Saccharomyces cerevisiae S288C: one gene and its partners. Changing the gene in region 3 together with the main gene of any one other region gives a genetic interaction. Each region holds a gene or a part of one and is shown on either strand. Other genes may lie near its edges.

Evidence for each region. Genes that interact genetically often act in the same process or in processes that back each other up.
Region 1: mutations in SHB17 (region 3) and DDE1 together harm fitness more than expected from each alone (negative genetic interaction), as found in Saccharomyces cerevisiae (one large-scale study listed by BioGRID).
Region 2: mutations in SHB17 (region 3) and PRM2 together harm fitness less than expected from each alone (positive genetic interaction), as found in Saccharomyces cerevisiae (one large-scale study listed by BioGRID).

Annotation. Positions count from the first base shown.
Region 1 is NC_001140.6:193,931-197,733, reverse strand, and holds DDE1 (Dde1p), read right to left. Parts: upstream 2,184-3,803; coding exon 501-2,183; downstream 1-500. Other genes in the region: inositol monophosphate 1-phosphatase INM1, read left to right, coding at 1-336; DOG1 (2-deoxyglucose-6-phosphatase), read left to right, coding at 2,926-3,666.
Region 2 is NC_001141.2:282,529-286,595, forward strand, and holds PRM2 (pheromone-regulated protein PRM2), read right to left. Parts: upstream 2,472-4,067; coding exon 501-2,471; downstream 1-500. Other genes in the region: CCR4-NOT core subunit NOT3, read right to left, coding at 1-124; CST6 (Cst6p), read left to right, coding at 3,138-4,067.
Region 3 is NC_001143.9:520,397-524,472, reverse strand, and holds SHB17 (sedoheptulose-bisphosphatase), read left to right. Parts: upstream 1-2,760; coding exon 2,761-3,576; downstream 3,577-4,076. Other genes in the region: PLN1 (Pln1p), read left to right, coding at 1-250; YKR045C (uncharacterized protein), read left to right, coding at 504-1,055; UIP5 (Uip5p), read right to left, coding at 1,127-2,458; SUN family protein UTH1, read right to left, coding at 3,849-4,076. UniProt on the Saccharomyces cerevisiae protein: Sedoheptulose 1,7-bisphosphatase involved in riboneogenesis. Dephosphorylates sedoheptulose 1,7-bisphosphate (SBP), which is converted via the non-oxidative pentose phosphate pathway to ribose-5-phosphate.

The DNA of each region.
Region 1 (3,803 bases), on a different chromosome or scaffold from region 3:
GCCACATATGAAAAATTACTATCATGTGATTACGGTTTTGTTCATGGATTCAGAAATTTAGGATCATCTGCAATGACAATGGCATATATTGCTATGGGGTACCTTGATAGTTATTGGGATGGTGGTTGCTATTCGTGGGACGTGTGTGCTGGATGGTGTATTTTGAAAGAAGTGGGCGGTCGTGTAGTAGGTGCCAATCCAGGTGAATGGAGTATTGATGTCGACAATAGGACATATTTGGCTGTGAGGGGAACAATTAATAACGAAAGTGACGAACAAACAAAATATATCACAGACTTTTGGAACTGTGTTGATGGCCATTTGAAATATGACTGATCGTCAGCACATTAGGCCTAATATAAAATGTACGATTAAAATGACAGTTATTTGAATCATTTTAGCTGATCACAGGGATATAGAAGGTATTGGTAGTAATAATAATAATGATAATAATAATAATGATAATAATAAATAATAAATAATAAAGCGATAGATAATGCTCATTGATTATAGATGTATAAGCAACCGTCTTGGCCAAATAGTCCAAAAACGCCAACTAGAGGCATCCATCCTTCACCTCCTCCAAACCTTTCAGCTAAATGCAAAGCTTTCTCTAAACGATCGGACTCTACTGGTTTACCTATGCTAAAACCACGAATACATAACATACCCTGCTTCTTCTCTATGTTCAAATGAGGGTTTGTTTCCGTTTCTACCATTTTTCCTTCTAATGTTGTACTTAGTGTTCCATAACATACAACGTTATCGTCCACAGATTTTCCAAAAACCCTATAGTCATAAAAATTGGTATGTGCCACAGGTCCCATGATAGCGTAGGGACAATATAACTCGAGGACTACACGGGATCCTAATTGAGCTCTTATTTTATTCAATTGTTCAGTGCTTGGGGTGATTCTTCGGTTAGTCTTTTTTAGCTGAGGAATTTTTTCAGGAAATGTCGAAATAACCTCAGCATCTTTCACATTATCTGCCAAATAAACACATCTTAATTTTTCAAGAGAATGTGGCTCGATTCTGGCAATTTTCGTAAAAATACCCTCGCTCAGTAAGTTCGTGGCCCAGGATAAGTAGATTTTATTCAGCAGCCCACTTCTAGAATTAGAATCAATTAATTTGACAACATCCTTTGTTTCGGTAAACAGTAACGTAGTTTCTTGCAACGACTCGCAATCTATCGTTGTAGGATTGATGAAAGATGCAGACCCACCATGCAGCAAAACTGCAAAAAGCTTTCCCCAAATTTGTAGGCTTGCACTAGAATTTGCCAATTTTGTCGAAATGGTTAGGTATTCATTACTATTCAATTCATTTCCCAAGGGGAACCCTTTGATGAATTCCGCTATATTACTCACCAGACAGATTTGATTAAAACTATTAGTTCCATTCCATGGTGAAGTTACGTATGCAAAAAGTTTCTTATCATCAGAGTTGTCATCTGGCGGGGTGTATTGGTACTCTGTATCCTTGGTAAAACCGTCGATAAGTTCTTTCCAAGTGATAACATCACAGTTCGCATCAAATTGTAGTGATTCGATAGGATCATCGCAAACAACAATAAGCTTGTACCAATCCTCGCTGCCGTTTAGCATCTTAAAAGACTTCCATGAGTCGATGATCAGGACATCAACATCTTCTAGTCGTTGTCTAGGAACAGCTGGCAAGAAATGAGGTATTGAACCTGTTCTTATAGAGGTCATCATGGAAGCCAAGGAGAGAGTAAAACCCTCTACGGTAGCAATAGAATTAGCTATACCGATATTTTTGAAATTCTTATTGGAAAGTTTCGGAAATATGCGCTTGGCCATACCATTAAGTTCACTCAACGAATAACTTTTTTCTCTTCCTGTAAATTTAATTATGTTTTTTCCCTTGGAAACTTCCATTATGGCATTCCAAACATCACCGAAATTGCCATTTCTTATTTTGTATTTTAAAGATAGCCCTAATCCTGTCGTCAATGGGAATCCTGTGGGCACTAAAATGCTTCGATAATATGCTGTTTCATTTTCTTTACGAACACTGGATATGCTAGATTGCTGTGACAAAGCCACCCCTGTTAAATCTCTCTTAAAATCAAGTAGAAAAGAGCTTAGCAACCAGTTGGCGCCCAGCACAATTAACAATATTGTTATTACCAGCTGTAGTAGAAAAGACCAATTCATTGCTCATCAACTTTTGCCGCTTGTTTAACTGTCTTTCTTTCTAACGAAAGAACTTTCTATAGCTTAATTGAAAAGCACTTGAAATGCTTAAAACTTAACCTATGTTGAAGCTATAAAGGTGTTGCAGAATGATTTCCATTCAATGTACTTCTCGAAGTTGCTGTCGTTTATGATACGATACATATTAGAACTTTTTCATTCTTAACGACGCGCAAAGAAAAACGAAAAGCTAATGACCAAACCAAGGGTCCTAGGATTCTCATTAACATCAATTCAAGGCAATCAGTTACAATATTTATAATAAAGTAATTCGTGCTATGTATCCTTTTGCCAAGTAACTTGCCAGAAATTCCGTTTATCTACTTCATCTTATCGGTGAAAAAATATACACTGGGCTCTTCTACACACGCCTTCTACCGCATATCCTTTAGAGTCTTGGCTTCTTGTAATTTTCAATCACGGTTATGTTCCGTGATACAGACACGTCAGAGTATTCCTATATATTCCGACATTAACCCCGACATTTCAAACAACCGTTGTTCAGCTATAGAAGGAAGCGTATATCTATGAGATTATAGGCTCTGGTACCATCTAATGATATAAATTTCATGGAACTTTTTTATTGCAAGTATTTTATTTAATTTTATTTTCATTTTTAATGATCGCGATTATTCTGTTGGAAATAACGTTCTGATGGAGATTGTTGGTTACGTTGCCACTCACGTAAGAAGTTCAAAGGATAATGGCAGAATTTTCAGCTGATCTATGTCTTTTTGACCTAGATGGTACCATAGTGAGTACAACAGTGGCCGCAGAGAAAGCATGGACCAAGTTGTGTTACGAATACGGTGTTGATCCTTCCGAGTTATTTAAGCATTCTCATGGTGCAAGAACACAAGAGGTTTTGAGAAGGTTTTTCCCTAAATTGGATGATACAGACAATAAAGGTGTTCTTGCTCTAGAAAAAGATATTGCCCATAGTTACTTGGACACAGTAAGCCTTATTCCTGGTGCAGAGAACTTACTGTTATCGTTAGATGTAGATACTGAGACTCAAAAAAAGTTACCTGAAAGGAAATGGGCTATCGTTACCTCTGGTTCTCCATATTTGGCATTTTCATGGTTCGAGACAATATTGAAAAATGTTGGAAAGCCCAAAGTTTTCATTACTGGGTTTGACGTGAAGAACGGTAAGCCTGATCCCGAGGGTTATTCAAGAGCTCGTGATTTATTGCGTCAAGATTTGCAATTAACTGGTAAACAGGATCTGAAGTATGTTGTCTTCGAAGATGCACCCGTGGGCATAAAGGCCGGCAAAGCAATGGGCGCCATTACTGTGGGTATAACATCCTCGTATGACAAGAGCGTTTTATTTGACGCAGGAGCAGATTATGTAGTCTGTGATTTGACACAGGTTTCCGTGGTTAAGAACAATGAAAACGGTATTGTCATCCAGGTAAACAACCCTTTGACAAGGGCCTGAGTAAACAAAAATGTGACAAAAGAACGAATATATATAGATGTAAAACATATGGACAAGCAAAAAGTCGAATTATGTATGTCATTTTAGGTACTGAAGAGGTAAGATTTTTTTTGAGTTTTTCTTCGAAGATGGTTGTG
Region 2 (4,067 bases), on a different chromosome or scaffold from region 3:
CCTTTTGGGAAGGATTGTTTGTGCATGATTCATGTCTTTCGTAATAGCTATTGAAGATTTCTAAACCTTCGTTAATTTTTTTAAAGACCCTATCGACCTCCTGCTGTAATTTTCTATGAGCCATGTCGATCGACTAAACATACAATGAATCTTCAAAAATCTAAATTTGAAAATGAATAAATAAATGTGCTGTAGATAATAGCTTTTGATTTTTTGTCTTGACACAATGAGACTTCTCGTTAAAGTCAAACCAAAAGGAGATGAACAAAAGAAAGTTCGAAATATCAACAAAATGCTTTAAAAAATGTAGAAGCAAAGTTATTAATAACTTTACAAGCGCCTTAGTCAGTTTATTGATCTGTAGGTCAGTAGGTTTTAGAGATTACGCACAGATGAAAGTGAATTAAGCTACTATTACATAAAATCAAGGTATCTTTCACAAGTTTTTCACTCAGCGAAAATTGCGAGACCGCTCGTGGAAGGTGACGATAATACGATACTTACAACTTTAATATTATAAATATAAGCATGTGGTGGAACAATATAGTCAGGCAAACTGCTAAAAGTCCCCACTTATAAACAGTGTGTAAAAAGTACGTTTGTTTTTGCTCCTTATCCTTTATTTGGCGTTTTGACAGTGAAGACAATGCCGCTACCGATGCGTTGGTTATATTAATTCCTCGATTAATTATACCATATTTTTGAATGTCCAGTGCAAATGAAGAATTTGTATTCGTAACTTCGTATGTCGGTAGGAAATACTGACCCAGGAACTCATTAATTGAATCGCTGCCTAACAGAGGCTCAACCTGCAGGTCTATCCCCTGCCAATTTTGAGAACTCTCATTAAGATATTTTTCAAACTGAGTGTTTGTGTCGTTAACCCAAAGATTTAGGATGTCCGTTGATTGCACTTTCAAATTGGGGTCAGTTTGAAGGCTTAAATTTGCTGTAATGAACTTTTCATTCACTTCCATTTGGAAATTTTCACACAATAATGATACGCTGTCATTAATGAAACCCTCTATCGTAGTTGTTATATTTCCATCTGTCCAAACTTCCCTTTTGTATAGCGAAGGTCCCGCTCTTTTGTGGAATGTAGGCAAACTGGGTACTTCAAAGTTTGTTAATCGCGTCACTATCTGCCAATGAATTAATAACATCAAAAAACCAAACAGCCACAGGTGAGCCCCATTTGAGATTATCCACCAGTTACAGTAAAATAGTTTTGATTTTTTGACTTTTTTGTCATCGATTTTTTCTGGTTCTCTTTTAAATATTTTTTGATTGATAAGCTTTGTTAATTGGTAGGGAATTGGATAAAGTGTACTGAGATTCAGAGTAGTAATTAAGCTTTTCAAAACTTTGTTGTATTTAGTAAAATTGGTTTGTCCTGTCAGGCCATTAATTTGGGACATAACCAGGTTTACTTGCTGATTTTCCAGCTGAAACAGAATTCTTTCGATTGCCATGAGCAAAATCACAAATGCAAAGTACATGACTGTGAAAATTATTGTCATTCTCTTACATTTACGGAAAACGTGATTTTTTACTGCACTTAGTACACTGTTTTCCTCGCTATTTGTTTTCAGAGACCGTTTAATTATTGAAGTAGACGATGTAACCTCGGTACTCCCCCCAGATAAAATGGAAATTTCATTCTGTAAGTTTGCAGTAAAGTTCCTTTTCAACTGAAGCCAGTCAGTGGAATTTCGTAGAAAATTCAAACTTAAGGTACTAGAGGTATCTAATTGAGTAGAAAAGTCAGTGATAGTGCCATTGAAGTTCTGCAATGATTTCAATTTCCTTGAGTAGTTCCCAAAAATACTGTCAAACATGGAGTAATTTAACAGTAGGTTTGATGCCATTTGTGAAATGGAATCCTTATCAATGGTCATTGCGTCTTCTGATATTTCATTCCATGTGTCATTTATCAGCTGTGATTTAGTGAGTAGTTCGTTAAAAATTGTATTGTTTACCTCAAGAACTTCCTTAATCAATTCAGTTTCCAAACTTATTTGGTCGTTGATAAGTTTTTGTTTATTATCCAGTATGTCGTCTGTGTATGACTTGAATTTTTCTTGCATATCCGTACCTACCGTAGATTCAATACTCCGTAGTTTGCTTTCGAAATACTGATCAATTGTATTATCAATGAATGTTTTATTTAAAGAGTAACTGTTGGCAGAATATATGGCATGCTGTGTTGTGACTGCTGTCATTGTGGCCGTTGTTGTGGCCGTTGTTGTGGCTGTCGCTGTAGCAGTTGAAATAGATGCAAAGGTTGAGACGGTATCATTTCGTTTGACCTGTGCGTGAGACATTTTTGCCATTGTAATGTCAATGACTGAAAAGGAACCCCAAATAGTTAAAATAACAGAAGTAAAGAATATCAGTAATAGAGGATGGAAAATACAACTAAAAAACCTCTGTGGAAGTGATAAAGGTTTAATTATGTGTACATTGTTCATCTTTGCCGTACTCTTAGTTTTATCGAAAAGTGGTGTAGATTTTCAGCTACTTAAGCCATGTTAGTGTTCTAGTTTTTTGCTTTACATGTTATATAAAGGGCCAAGATAGCATATGTAAATGTTTTATTACTGGGCTGAAACATTTTTAAAACATTTTTCAATAATGTGCTGTTATAACCGTACAAGGACGGTTATAATTCTGAATTAAAATGCTGCACCGAATGAAAATACCAATGTTCTTCCAAACCTATTGGCGAAAATTAAGATAAGCTGTCGCCTCTATAATCAAGAATAATCTCAACTATTATAAATATTATTCCCAGAAGTTGAAATTGTGACACATTTGAGTAATATCACCTTACACGGAACATAGTTGCCCCCTTCTCCGAAATTGCTGACAATGATAATCGGGGATTCAATGACAATGACAATGAAGGCAAAAGATTTTCATATTGTACTCTTGTTTTTTGAGTTATCACTTTCAAGTACCTTCTTGTTAACAGAAATAGAACCGCTATAGAGGTTATCGTGTATACGTATCTGTTGGTGTTTCTAAATCAAAAACTCGCTTTTAAAGCAGTCTTTCAATTGGAAGATTCAAAAGGATCTAAAAAGATCTAAAGTAGTAAAGAAAAAAGTATAAGCCCACACCTTTTTGGTAGGATAATGTTTACTGGTCAGGAGTATCATTCCGTAGACTCTAATTCCAACAAGCAAAAAGACAACAATAAACGTGGTATTGATGACACATCAAAGATCTTGAATAATAAGATACCGCACTCTGTTAGTGATACTTCTGCCGCCGCCACCACCACTTCTACTATGAACAATTCTGCTTTAAGTAGATCCTTAGATCCTACTGACATAAACTATAGCACAAATATGGCTGGTGTGGTTGACCAAATACATGATTATACTACTTCCAATAGAAATTCTTTAACCCCACAATATTCTATTGCAGCTGGAAACGTCAATTCGCATGATCGGGTTGTTAAACCCAGCGCCAATTCAAACTATCAGCAGGCTGCATACCTTCGACAACAGCAACAGCAGGATCAGCGACAACAGTCACCCTCTATGAAAACTGAAGAGGAATCCCAACTCTACGGTGATATTCTGATGAATTCTGGTGTCGTACAGGATATGCATCAGAATCTGGCCACTCATACAAATCTGAGCCAACTGTCGTCTACCCGTAAGTCCGCTCCGAATGATTCTACTACAGCCCCGACTAATGCGTCCAACATCGCCAATACGGCTTCTGTGAACAAGCAGATGTATTTCATGAACATGAATATGAATAACAACCCACATGCCTTGAACGATCCATCCATCCTGGAAACATTGTCGCCATTTTTTCAACCTTTTGGTGTTGATGTAGCACATTTACCTATGACGAATCCACCAATTTTCCAAAGTTCTTTGCCTGGATGCGATGAGCCAATTAGAAGAAGAAGAATATCAATCTCTAACGGTCAAATAAGCCAGCTAGGCGAAGATATTGAAACTTTGGAAAACCTGCACAACACACAGCCGCCCCCGATGCCCAATTTTCACAATTATAATGGTCTGAGCCAAACTAGGAATGTATCAAAC
Region 3 (4,076 bases):
GTACGACGCCATAGTGAAGCCCACAACTGACAAGTTGCAGTCTGTGTACATCGACCCAACAAAGACTAAGCTTAACGAAACCTACCAACGCTTCACCACTGTCTATGAAAACAATCTAAGTAAATCTGAAAGCGTCCCTAAAGCCATTGTATCCACCGGGTTGGACTTGGGCAATGCCACCATTGAGAAGCTAAAGGCCTCAAGAGAAGACCAAACCAATTCTAAGCCCGCGGCTGTGTCGACCAATTAGTAATTTGGTTTTGCGCTAATCGTGCGCCTGATTTTTTTTCCTGCCACTCTTATATAGTTATTTGTTATTATTCTATTATTTCATCTATTGTTTGCTAGCTATTATGTACGTTGCTGTTTGAGCACTATATACAATTGAATACCAAAGAAAAAATTATAAAAACGAAAAAAAAAAAAAAAAAAAAAAATTTGGTTATAGCTCGATCAAGAGACAATAAAAGTGAATATACATGGTGCCAAGGGAAAGTCCTAGCATGTCAAACAGTCATCATACATCCCAGGGAAGAAGAAACAAACTTTCAGTGTGGGTTAAAAAAATAATAAACACCACTACCACAACTAACGCATCGGTCTCGAGCAGTAAACCAAGACGCGGCACTAGGGCTGGCCCCACAAGAGTTAAGCGTGCTGAGTTGGATCCGGATGGAACAACCATCAGTTCGTCGTTGCGACCATTGGTTGATCGAAATTCGTTGCATTCGAGCGAATCCGATGACGAAGGAGACCGTCGAGTGGCATGGGATGAACCACCAACAGGCAAAGTAAGACAGCAGCAGCAGCAACAGCAGCAACAACAAAACGACAACGCAAGTGTTATTCCGCTAGTATCGTTTTGTTCCTCGTCAGTGAAGTCGTCTACTTTCTCGGACATTCATTCAATACAGTCTACGAGGCCCACAATATTCTCTAACAGGACGTTTGAGACGAATTCTAGCGTTCTGGCCATCCCACCACAGAGTATATTGGATCGATCAAGAACCCTCCCGCCGTCGAACGCAAGTAACACTACCACAAGAAGACCGTGAATTGGCTACCTAAGATGAACGTCCTATATTGTATTATTTGTGTATGTATGTATGTGCGTGCCTATGCAATGCTACATGGGCAATAGCCCCACAGAATGCGAGCCTGCCCTTTTTCTTCTGGATCTAATTTTTTTGAACCTTCTTTGGAAAACTCTTATGCAAGCAGAAAAAAGATAAATGCCCATGATCAATAGCAAAATCTCGCTATAATGCCATATGGTCAGCACGACCTTGAACAACCGAGAGTGAGGATTGTTTGAAGTTTTCTGTTCAGCTGACTGTGACCCAGTCTTGATGTTTGGTTGAGCTTTGATCATTTTCCATTTGGTGAACTCATCGGGTTCCCTGTCAAGGACCTCGCCAAATTCCTGCTCCAGGAATAGCTCAGCTTCCTTTGCGTAATCATAGGTGTCCTCAATGGACGCATCCATGTCGTTCCAATGGAATTCGCTAGTGGATACGTCCAGCAGCTCCACTGTCTCCGTTAATTGGCCATTTAATGCGCTACAGCCAATGTATCTTTGCCCCGTGTGCATGTTTTTCGGCAAGTACAGATTTTCGGTTGTTTGAAATAACTCAATCCAGTAGTTTCCCTCTTTTGCGTACTGCACGTCGATCTTCAGGAAGCTTATACTTTCCAAATATATTATTCTTAGTTTCGTGACTCGATTCCACAGGGCATTTTTCTTGAGTTTTATGTGGCCTCTTGAATTAAGCCGCAGCGATGTACTGAGTTCACCATCACTATTTATATCGTACCAATCGCTTTCTGGGGCCACATTTATAAACACATCCATAAAGGGTACCTCCTTATGGTCGTGGCCTTGGTTGCGATACGTATCCAAGACAATAAATAGGCCAGGCAGATTTTTCGGGAAGCCCATCAGATCTGTATTATCGGCTATGACGCCCTGAGAATTCATCATGTATTGCTTTTTCGCATACGACGACTGTAAATTCTGTGTGAGAAACCCATTTTCGGGCGTAATGGCAAAACACATTCCATCACCAGTGAGTTGTGTAGTGGGGTCGTGAGAAATTCTGAAAGTGAAAACAATCTCAAAGTCATTGATGGTGTTGTCGCCAATTCCATTGGACAATACTAATCCATGTTTATCTTGATCACGGTCCTGAGTCAATTTGATCGACTGAATATTCCTAATTTGCGTGGCACCGCCTACATGCCAAAACTGGTTGATCTTGTCCAAAAACGGTATAGATAAACTAGCATCATGGTTGGGCACACGCGTTACATGTGATCTTCCTCTTGTAAAGGGGCTAGTCTCTGTATGGTACTGATCACCATTATTGAGATAAATCTCAGCCACTAATTGGAATATTAGAAACAATGATAAAATCAATAGTGATATGGCTAGTTTCTCTGCCCTTACATCTCTTGACATCGTTACTTAAAGAGAGAGCACACACGTTATAAACTACCCACCGCCAAATTGCTATCCAATGTTAAGGATAGACAAATGCAAAAATATATAAAGGAAACCAAAATCTGCTTATATAAAGCGTAAATCTTACATTTTTCACTGCTTACTCACTCTTATTGTTTTTTTTCTGTTCAACCACGCGATGAGTTTTTTTTTTCCATTATTATTTATAGGACAAAAATGAAAAAATATTAGCTCAGATAAGCACATTTTGTTCATAGCTAAGTGGATAGGGAAACACCTACACTTAATTGCAAGCAACAATGCCTTCGCTAACCCCCAGATGTATCATTGTCAGACACGGTCAAACTGAATGGTCCAAGTCAGGCCAGTATACTGGTTTGACAGATCTACCGTTAACGCCCTACGGTGAGGGCCAAATGTTGAGGACCGGTGAGAGTGTTTTCCGCAATAATCAGTTTTTGAATCCAGACAACATCACTTATATCTTCACCTCTCCACGTTTGCGTGCCAGGCAAACTGTGGATTTGGTTTTGAAACCATTAAGCGACGAGCAAAGAGCTAAGATCCGTGTGGTGGTAGACGACGACTTGCGAGAGTGGGAGTACGGTGACTACGAGGGAATGCTGACTCGAGAAATCATTGAATTGAGAAAGTCACGCGGTTTGGACAAGGAGAGGCCATGGAATATCTGGAGAGATGGGTGTGAGAACGGTGAGACTACTCAGCAAATTGGGTTGAGACTTTCCCGCGCTATTGCCAGAATCCAGAACTTGCACCGCAAGCACCAGAGTGAGGGCAGAGCATCAGACATCATGGTCTTTGCGCACGGACATGCATTGCGTTATTTTGCTGCTATTTGGTTTGGACTGGGTGTGCAAAAGAAGTGTGAGACGATTGAAGAAATTCAAAATGTCAAATCTTATGATGACGACACAGTTCCATATGTGAAATTGGAATCTTACAGACATTTGGTAGACAATCCATGTTTCTTACTGGACGCCGGTGGGATTGGTGTTTTGTCATACGCTCACCACAACATTGACGAACCTGCATTGGAATTAGCAGGTCCATTTGTCTCACCACCAGAGGAGGAATCCCAGCATGGCGATGTGTAAGCAATCATTCGAAATGCAAAAAAAGATATGCAGTTATAGAAAGTGATAAAAACATTTTTTTTCTTGACTTTTTATGTTATATAATATGCTATATATGATAATATCTAGTGGTATCTTAAAAAAGAAAAAATAATGAAATAAAAGGGATAGTACAAAGGACTGTGTTTTTTTGTATTGTGGAAAAACGAACTAATTGAAAAATAAACCATAAAATGAACGGAGTAAAAAAAGTACTAGCAAAAGCTTATTTGCAATATTCAAGGAAAAAAGGCCTAGTAGAAGACAAAGTTAGCAGAACCAGAAGTAACTGAAACAGTACAACCGTCAGAGCCAGAGCCAGAGTAGACACCATTTTCGTAAGAGCAAGCACCATTGACGGTAGAGCCATCGGTGGCAACGATCTTGATGTTAAAGTTTGGTGCTTCTTTGTTGTTTGGGTTTGGAATGATGGACAAGTAAGTGATACCATCAGTGTAACCAGCACCCAAGACAACTGGGGC